2 linked regions of the Nothobranchius furzeri genome follow. The protein of the gene in region 2 purifies or fractionates together with the protein of the main gene of each other region. This does not show direct contact. Links are inferred from orthologs where the notes say so. Each region holds a gene or a part of one and is shown on either strand. Other genes may lie near its edges.

What was found.
Region 1: the proteins of ralbp1 (region 2) and AP-2 complex subunit mu-A purify together in Homo sapiens (affinity purification with mass spectrometry; 3 studies listed by BioGRID and IntAct, counting the BioPlex papers as one, with this or other methods). This does not show direct contact. The link is inferred for Nothobranchius furzeri from reciprocal best matches to the Homo sapiens genes RALBP1 and AP2M1.

What each region holds. Positions count from the first base shown.
Region 1 is NC_091751.1:56,895,450-56,899,699, forward strand, and holds the start of AP-2 complex subunit mu-A, read left to right. Parts: upstream 1-1,397; 5' UTR 1,398-1,537; intron 1,538-2,811; 5' UTR 2,812-2,859; coding exon 2,860-2,933; intron 2,934-4,250. Other genes in the region: sf3a2 (splicing factor 3A subunit 2), read left to right, coding at 1-89.
Region 2 is NC_091751.1:42,837,335-42,841,629, reverse strand, and holds the start of ralbp1 (ralA-binding protein 1), read right to left. Parts: upstream 3,085-4,295; 5' UTR 3,002-3,084; intron 482-3,001; 5' UTR 428-481; coding exon 178-427; intron 1-177. UniProt on the Homo sapiens protein: Multifunctional protein that functions as a downstream effector of RALA and RALB. As a GTPase-activating protein/GAP can inactivate CDC42 and RAC1 by stimulating their GTPase activity.

The sequences.
Region 1 (4,250 bases), about 14 Mb from region 2:
GGGCACCAGGTCCCCCCCAAATGCCCCCACAAATGCCCATGCCCCCCATGCCAATGAGGCCACCTCCCCCAGAGGGCCTTATGCAGTGATAATTTGCTGTTAGAAATTGCATTGGTGGTCAGTTGTTCTGCTCTGCCTGTTTTGTATTTTTAGGATGTTGGATATCTTCAGTAGATTTTCATAACTTTGTTTGCCTAAAAATAAAATTCTAAAGCTAAATGTTATGGAAACATTATCGTCCTCTTGTAAACTAATATCTGGACACATTTTTATTTCTTATGTCCATTTTTTAATTAAAATACACAAATACTGAAAATACCTGAGTGTTTGTTCTACAAAAAATACAGAGAATTATCTGAAGTTTACTCTGATCAGGTTAAAATAAAACAAATCAACAAAATTGATTTTTCTGTATTTAAATTGATCTTCAACACTGCCTAAATCAGTTTGAATTATATTTTAACAGCAGTTTTCATTTTGGTATCAATTATTCAGACTATGTATTCAGTGTATGTACTCATAAAATCTTTTTAAAATAAAATGTTTTAATTTTATGAACTTCTGCTGAACACACAGATGTTTTATTTTTTTGTGACCCAAGTTTCCAGGGGTGACCATGACCCCAATTGGAAACCTTTTGAGGACTGTTGGTAATCACAAACTATGGATTAGAGAACATTCTCAAAAAAATTTGATGTGCTCCACGCCAAATATCATTCAAGAGTTTCTTTGTCCTGTGTCTGTGGACACTCCAGTCTGCTGCAATGAAGACCTCTGAAGATATCCATCAGCATTGCTTTCTCTGGCAGAAGACTTTCGAAGATGCTCCATGGCATTGCAAAAGTGTTCGCCTTACCCTTCGCTGCCACTGGCCCAGTTTGGAGCCTTTGTTTGGGCATTTCACCTCGGAGATGTGACAAACTGAATTTATGTTTATGTATTTAGCAGAATTTGTATAATGTTTCATACAATCTATTTGTAAGAATCGTTAATCACGATTTTTGTAGCTCATGTTTGCAGTAGATTTTCTGCCTTACACGAGTAACCAACGGGGGGCGCTCTAGAGTCGTTTACAGCATTTGCCCCATTTAATCACAAGTGGGGGATGAAATTATGTTTCTAGTTAGGCACATCTATTTAACAATATGCGCACAGTTTAACCTGACTACGTTTTTTTTTATTCTGACAGCGTCCGTACCTCATATTTTGTCAATATATTTTGACATGTTCTGATATATTTTTTGTAAAGGAGGCTGACCTATATAATTGTAAAATACCAGACAATTAACGAATATTAGCCTGCGTGGCTTATCATTTCAAGGCCTGGGTGCGGTTTACACATCGCACCAGCCACGCCTTTTCCTGTCACAACGGAACAGTCGTTCGTAAAGACGGCGGGTCAGCTGACAGGCATCAGCGGACCGGGGGAAGGAAGAAGCGGAATTTGCGGCTGTGAGCAGGGATTCTGTTGGACATAAAATACACCCAAAGGCTAGCCTGGAAGCCAAAGAGTGGTGGTGTTCGTGAAAGAACAAGAGTAAGTTAACGAAACGGAGATTCAGTCATGTATTTTTGCAGTAAAAACGATTTACTGTGATCTGTAAACCGCCAGAGAAAACAGGTGAGCGCTCTCTTTCGTTGACGACGCTAACATTAGCAACTCCTCAGCTAACCGCGGCTAGTTAACGTCAAGCTAGCCGCGGTTAGCTTGATGATAACGGAAAGCATGCTTTAAGATTCCTTCAAAGCTTAAAACGTGCCATCACATAACATTTTGATGCTGTTTTAGTTGGTTTGTTATGTAATTCATATCGTTTACACGTAAGTCACTGTAACTTGCTGTAACACACGCGATAACCTCAGTTTTTCTACCCACCGGAAGCCCGTTAAAAATCCGCTCGGCTCGCTGAGGATCGTCGGCAGCTAGCCTGCTAAATTAGCTAGCCATCGCTGTCTTCAGGGTATTCTCCATCACTTTGATCATACTGAAGGTCAAATTTTGAACCGAGCTAATACATTTAAATAACGTTTTAAACAAACCATACAGGGAAAAGATTATACATCGATGGTAGAAAAATATATAAAATGTATGAACATTGGTAAATGGCCCGAGTGAGCAGACATCTTGACTAAACCGATAAATGTACGATTCAGGTTTGGTGCAGGGTTTAATCGGTCACGACTGCTAGTAGTAATTTGTTTAAGAAAATTCTCAACACTCTCTATAAAAGTGTTTCAGTTATGCCTTCTAGGAATGCCATGGATGTCCTTTTTCCATCCTAAATTTTCTAGAAGCAGCATTTTTTAAACTGGCAGTTTTATTAGTAAAATACACTTAATTAAAAAAAACTTACATCCCCACGGGGATAAAAATGGTACATTTCGGATGTTAGTCCTACCAGGTCTAGGTAGGGTTTAGCGGACTATGATGATCTCAGATTTATATCTTTATCTGGTAGCATCCTACCCCAAACCGGTGGCTGCTGCTAATCTGTTAATCTTATTTGGAAGTGTGTGTGTGTGTGTGTGTGTGTGTGTGTGTGTGTGTGTGTGTGTGTGTGTGTGTGTGTGTGTGAGAAAGAGAGAGGTGAAGCTGCCTAAAAAGCTGGTGCAGCTATGCAAATGAGTGATTTAATAAAGTCACTAATGGTGTAGTGCAGCTGCAAGAGAGTGTGTGAGTGAGAGAAACAGGAAAACGGATGCGAGGGACAAGTGCCTCTCTGTACTGTGGGTGACTTTTACTTTACACTGCTTTTACTTTCCTATCTCCCCTTTTCCTTCCCAAATTTCAATCTTTTTTTTTATCCTCAGGAGGGGTTTGGTTTCATCATGGCAAGTTGGGATTGAGAAGCATTCACAATGATTGGAGGATTGTTCATCTACAACCACAAGGGAGAGGTTCTCATCTCCCGCGTCTACCGAGATGACATAGGGTATGTTTCTCAGACATTATGTGCGATGATAATCTTGTGGGTGGACTGTTTAGGTTTGATTCTGGATGAGAGGATTATTATGGGTTTCTGTTTAGCTAAATTAGTGTTTGGCATGTTTCTGCAAAGAAACAACACAATTTTATTGTCTGAGGCAATGATTTGCTTCCCTTGTGCTTATCATAAACCACACCTTCAAATTAAAAGATTAGACGCAGCTGTGTGGAATGCTCAAATTCAAATTGGCTTCACTGCCAGTTTCCTCATGGTGGGATAGTATTTGAATTATCATTTTCTTCTTCTGACCAAGTAATTTATTTGCTAAAATGTGTTCCTTTTCTTCTTTTTTTTTTTTTTGCCTCAATACATTTGTGTTTGCAAATACACTTGACTACACTTGTGATTTTCTCACTCTTGTAAGTCAAACTGTTTAATGCAAAATAGACCTTTCTGTATTGATGATTAATATTGAATGCATTATTTTATACAATGCTATGGTTAATATTTTACTTTGTTAGCAAAATATATAAATAATTATTTCTGCTGTAATCATTTACACTAAACGAAAAGAGGCGTGTCTGTGAGCAGAATATCTTATTGCTGCATCTGTGGTAAATTTAATTAATTTGTTCACCTTTGCTCTTTTAAATGTCTGAGTTCATTAGAGCAGGGGTTCCCAAATTGGGGGTCTGGGCCCCCAAGGTGTCCCAATAAGATTACTGGGCATTTTCTTAGCTGAGGTTGGCAAGATTTTATTTGTAAAAAAAAAAAAATTACATTTAGAAAATCATGGTAACACACCCTACAGTATAATCAGAACTCCATATAAAAGTTTGTAAATGATCACATTAATGTGTAATGCATGTTGGGGTTGGGGTCCTGGCTTGTCTTGGACATGGGCTATGGGGTCCTCAAAGGAAAGACTTGAACTCCTGCATTAAAAATTTTATTATGAAAGGTTAAAACATGTAATGAAACCCATGCTGGATACTTATTCTGAAATGTGGTTTAAAAACGGAGCTGAGTCATCACAACCAGTGCTGAGCAGCAATAGATGGAAAAATGTAGCCACTCACTTTTTTTTAATTTCATTCATTTTACAAAAAGGCATTGCTGTGTTAGGGCAAATGTAAGGTCTGCACTGCTCTTGTGCAACGTGTTATGGATATGATCTAAGTAGAATTTCCACCTTGCTTTCCCAGAATAAACATCTGCTCGTGTGTGTGCTTTCACCACTGTGTGTTGTACAAAATTCCACTGAACCCAAAAAAGAAAAGAAAATTAAAACACCCGCTCATTTTATTTTCATTGCATTATGCT
Region 2 (4,295 bases):
GTACTGTTTGAAATCGCAATTTCGATCCACAAACGATAGATCGTTCAGCCCTAATGATTAGTGACAAATACCAGCATACCTTTGGAGTAAAACAGCTTCAGGTCATTCCCCATAACTAAAGCAGGTTTGATTTAACAGAAGAAATAATCATTTTCAGAAGATTAAAACATATCCTACTCCTTTTCTCCTTCTTTTTAAACTTGTTCTTCTTCTTGCTGTGCTCCTTGTCATCGTCAGAGACGTATGTGTCAGGTGCCTCGTGGTGATGTCCATCATGAGGCGGCGAATGTTCATTGGCACGATACAACCCGGGGAACTTGGTAGGGCTGATCTCCTCGGAGCTGGGGGTACGAGCAACGCCCCCCGGGTGCTCAGCCCTGCGCTGCTCTGCAGGGCTGCTGCTGGGGGGTAGGAAGCACTCAGTCATAGCTTCTCTGGCCTTTAGCGCTCCTCTGACTGGAACATCACCTCTCCATCACACCTACAGTGACAAAAAAAATGTTCAATAACAAGATTTTATAATACAATGATAACGACTAATTATATTAAATAATTATATTTTATATAATAACAATATTTAGGTTTTCTTTGTAAATTAAAATGGGTTTTCACATGTATTACAATAACATAGTCTAGTCACCAGGGGCAGCAGTTGGTGGTCTTTGGATGCAGAATAAAAGAACCAAACCCCCACAAACATCTTGGGCGAAGTTTAAGGATCTTTACTTTTTCCCTTAAATCTTTCAAAGTAATCTTGATTAACAGACAGCTGGTTTTCTGAATAACCTTCCTGGACTTTTGTTGCTTATTTAAAGAGCAAGTCACCCCTAAATCAACTTTTTTTTGCTGATAAACTATATACATGAGTGCTGGAGACGTGTAATCAATAATTTGGCACTTTAGTGCATCTTAGTTAAAAATGTAAAATTCTGCCTAAAACTGTCAGTGTTGTGTCCTCTTCAGGTAAAAACTCTGCAGTACATTTGAATTTAAATCTGCCATTGCTATTGGCTAAGGGGTACCCTATGATGTTAGCTGGTACCATATGATGTCACAATTCCACTGTGAGCTTGTGTGTGTTTATTTGTTAGCGGCTCTGCCCTCTCTTTCTGCCAGGAAACGCCTTCTTGTGACACATTTTTCAAACAGGAAATGGGATAAGTTAGACTCTGGTAGGGGGTGACTTGCTCTTTCACATTTTTTTCACACTTAAGTTTGTGACATTTTTAGCAATGTCTGTGAGGCATAACGTAAGAGTTTAGGAGTCTTTACATTGCTGAGTGGCTTATGGGTCAAAGCAAACAATATTACTCTTAAGTAGGGCTGCACAATATGTTGCAAATATATCGTTATCGCGATATCAGCATGCGCAATATGCATATCGCAAAGAACAGACAAATATTGCAATGAATGGTCAGCTCAAATGTTTGCTACACATAATGCGTTCTGTCAATCAAATGGAAGCATGGTGTTTTTTTTAACAAATCAAATAAAGCTCTTCACCCATTTGGCCAATTGGGTGGGTTCTCATAGGTTAGATGCCGCCCCCGAGGAAGACGGCACTTCATTTTGATGGTTAGCAAACACCTGAGTTAGCTTTGTTCTGCTCTTTCTGATGATTCTGCTTTTCCTGGGATCCACTGATTACCTTTTCTTGTTCATTTTCTTTATCCATTTTCTCGCATCATTTGTTTTTCTGATTTTTATGATATTTTTAATAATTTTTTTATGTCTTTGTTTTTGATTATTTTTGTTCCTGAGTTAAGTTTTTATTTATTGCAAGTAATATCCTCATTGCAATATTAATCACTGTTATCGTCCTACTCTTAAGACAAAAACTGTCCAATACAAGAACCGGAACAAAGCGAAAAATGAAAGCAGCAAAAGCAAGACTTTAAAAAACATTCAGCAAACTTGAAGAACAGCTCAAAAAATGTGTAATGGTGGTTTTAAAAGTCTGATTCATTTGGAGAATTTTTACAGGAACGCAGAGCAACTCAAAATTGAGACTGTTCACTTCTGTTAGAAGTGAATGATGACTGATGATTTACCCATCATCAAATGAAAGCATGAACAGTAAACTGAGTCAGCTTTGGAAAAACAAACCTTGTTTACAGTTCACAAACCTTAAGTTACATTGTAAAAAAAATATGATTTCTCTGAGCACATTTCTTGCTCTTCCTGTTTCATCTACAACAAACATCTGTAATAATAACTCTTAAAGCTCAATCAAGACCACTGCTGCCTCATCTTCCTCCTTAGATGATGACTGTGTGAAAAGGGACACATCCACCAGATGGGGCTTCTGCTTTTCTAACAGTTCCATCATCCTCAACATAACTGCCAGCAAAAACAAAACCGCAAATCCTTTCCACCAGCACAGAAACCATCAGATAATCAGATATTTGTTCAGCTTTGATTGTAAAACAGAACCCGATCAGTTATAGGAAGTTACGGGAAGATGCGGTCTATCACTGACAGCAGGCTGAACCGGCTTTTTTTGTTCCCACCACTTTTCTCATTGAAGAAAATGTACAATAGCGTCATTAAAGACATAAACAATAAAATAGAACAATATTAAGTTCTCTTACACTCTCTTAACAGAACAATTAGACAAAACGACTAATAAGTATTGTCTGCATCTACGTTACATTCTAATCTTCCATCGTTTTGGGTTGATCACCCCCACCTTCCCCTTCCTACAAAAACTCACTCCACACAACTACTCATATATTAGCATACTGCTATTAAAGCAATTTAATTCATCGTCTGCGCTAAATATTTAAAGCATATTCATAAAGTTAGCTGTTGTGTGAAGTAGGGGCCCGTATGCTAACGGTAAGTCCGCTAGCTGTAAACCTGTCCATCGCGATAAAATCCGTTATTTCGTTCACACAAAAACAACGTGAAACGTGTAAATGAACACAAAGAGGCAAAACTTAATTTTGTGACTGCTGCACTGTAGACAAACGACTTGTGCTTAAGGGAAAATAAACTTTACCAAGTCTTCTTCGGTCAATCCCACAATGGAGCTTCCGGTTATGCGTGTCAAATAAACCCATTTGCGCGTGCGTCGTTTCAAAAGGGCATGGTGGGAAATGTAGTTGAAATTAACGCATACGCTGTCGGGCACAAAATTAGTTCAACAGCCAAACAACTGAAGGAAAATGGATTTGAACGTGTTCCTGATGTTTTCTCACTAGTGAGTTAGTAAATGTTAGTTATGTAGCACTTTTCAAAGACATAGAATCACAAAGTGCTTCACATAGATCAAAACAAAAATAAAATATAAAGTAATAAATCATAATGATCTCAAACCATTGTCATAAATTATTAAATTTCATAAACAGATGAAAAATTACAAATTTGAGTTAAACGTAAGAAAATAAAAGATTTATGTAAAAGCAGCAAATAGAAGGGTCTTCAGCTGTTTTTTAAAAGTGTCCAGACTGTCAATGCTACTTAAGGATAAAGGAAGATCATTCCAAAGTGGGGGTGCAACAGCCTGGAAGGAGCGATCACCTCAACTTTTGTATCTGGTCTTTGGAACTTCTAGAAGGTTCTGTTGTGTGGATCTGTGGGCTCAGGTTGGAGCATAAGGCTTTAACAGTTCAGTAATATAGGGAGGAGCTTGACCATGTAGAGCCCTGAAAGTTATAGTCAGGATTCTAAAATGAACTCTAAAGTTAACGGGTAACCAGTGCAGAGACATCAGAATAGGGGTGATGTGTGCTCTTCTGTTTGCTCCAGGTAGGAGCAAACAGAAGGGGATTAAAACCTCAGAGAGACTTTTAAATGCAATAAAAGGAAAATAAATAAACAAATAAAAACAAAAATACACCTTAATTTCATTTCAATTACAAATGTGTACTTTTGAAATTAGCGGCAAAATGAAAATTTCACTTGAGAATATCCTTTTTTGAAAAATACTGTACAATGTTAACACACACGCGCACGTGTGTGTGTCTGTGTGTGTGTGTGTGTGTGTGTGTGTGTGTGTGTGTGTTCGTGTGTGTTCTAGGAACAGCTACTGTGCAGAACCCTCAAGCTCCCAGGCCACTGGTAAGGACCCTAGCATGGAAGGATGAGACCAACCGCAGAGGGTGAGATGGGACTTTCTTTCTTTTTAAAGAATAAATATAATTTTTTAAGAATACAATTTGTCAATCATTCATCCGTTTTTCACTGCTCAGTTAACAAAGGTAGCTGGCAAATGGCCTGTATTTGATTTAGCGCCTTCTAGAGTCTTGGAAGCCCCCCAAGGCGCTTTACAACACAATCAGTCATTCACCTAT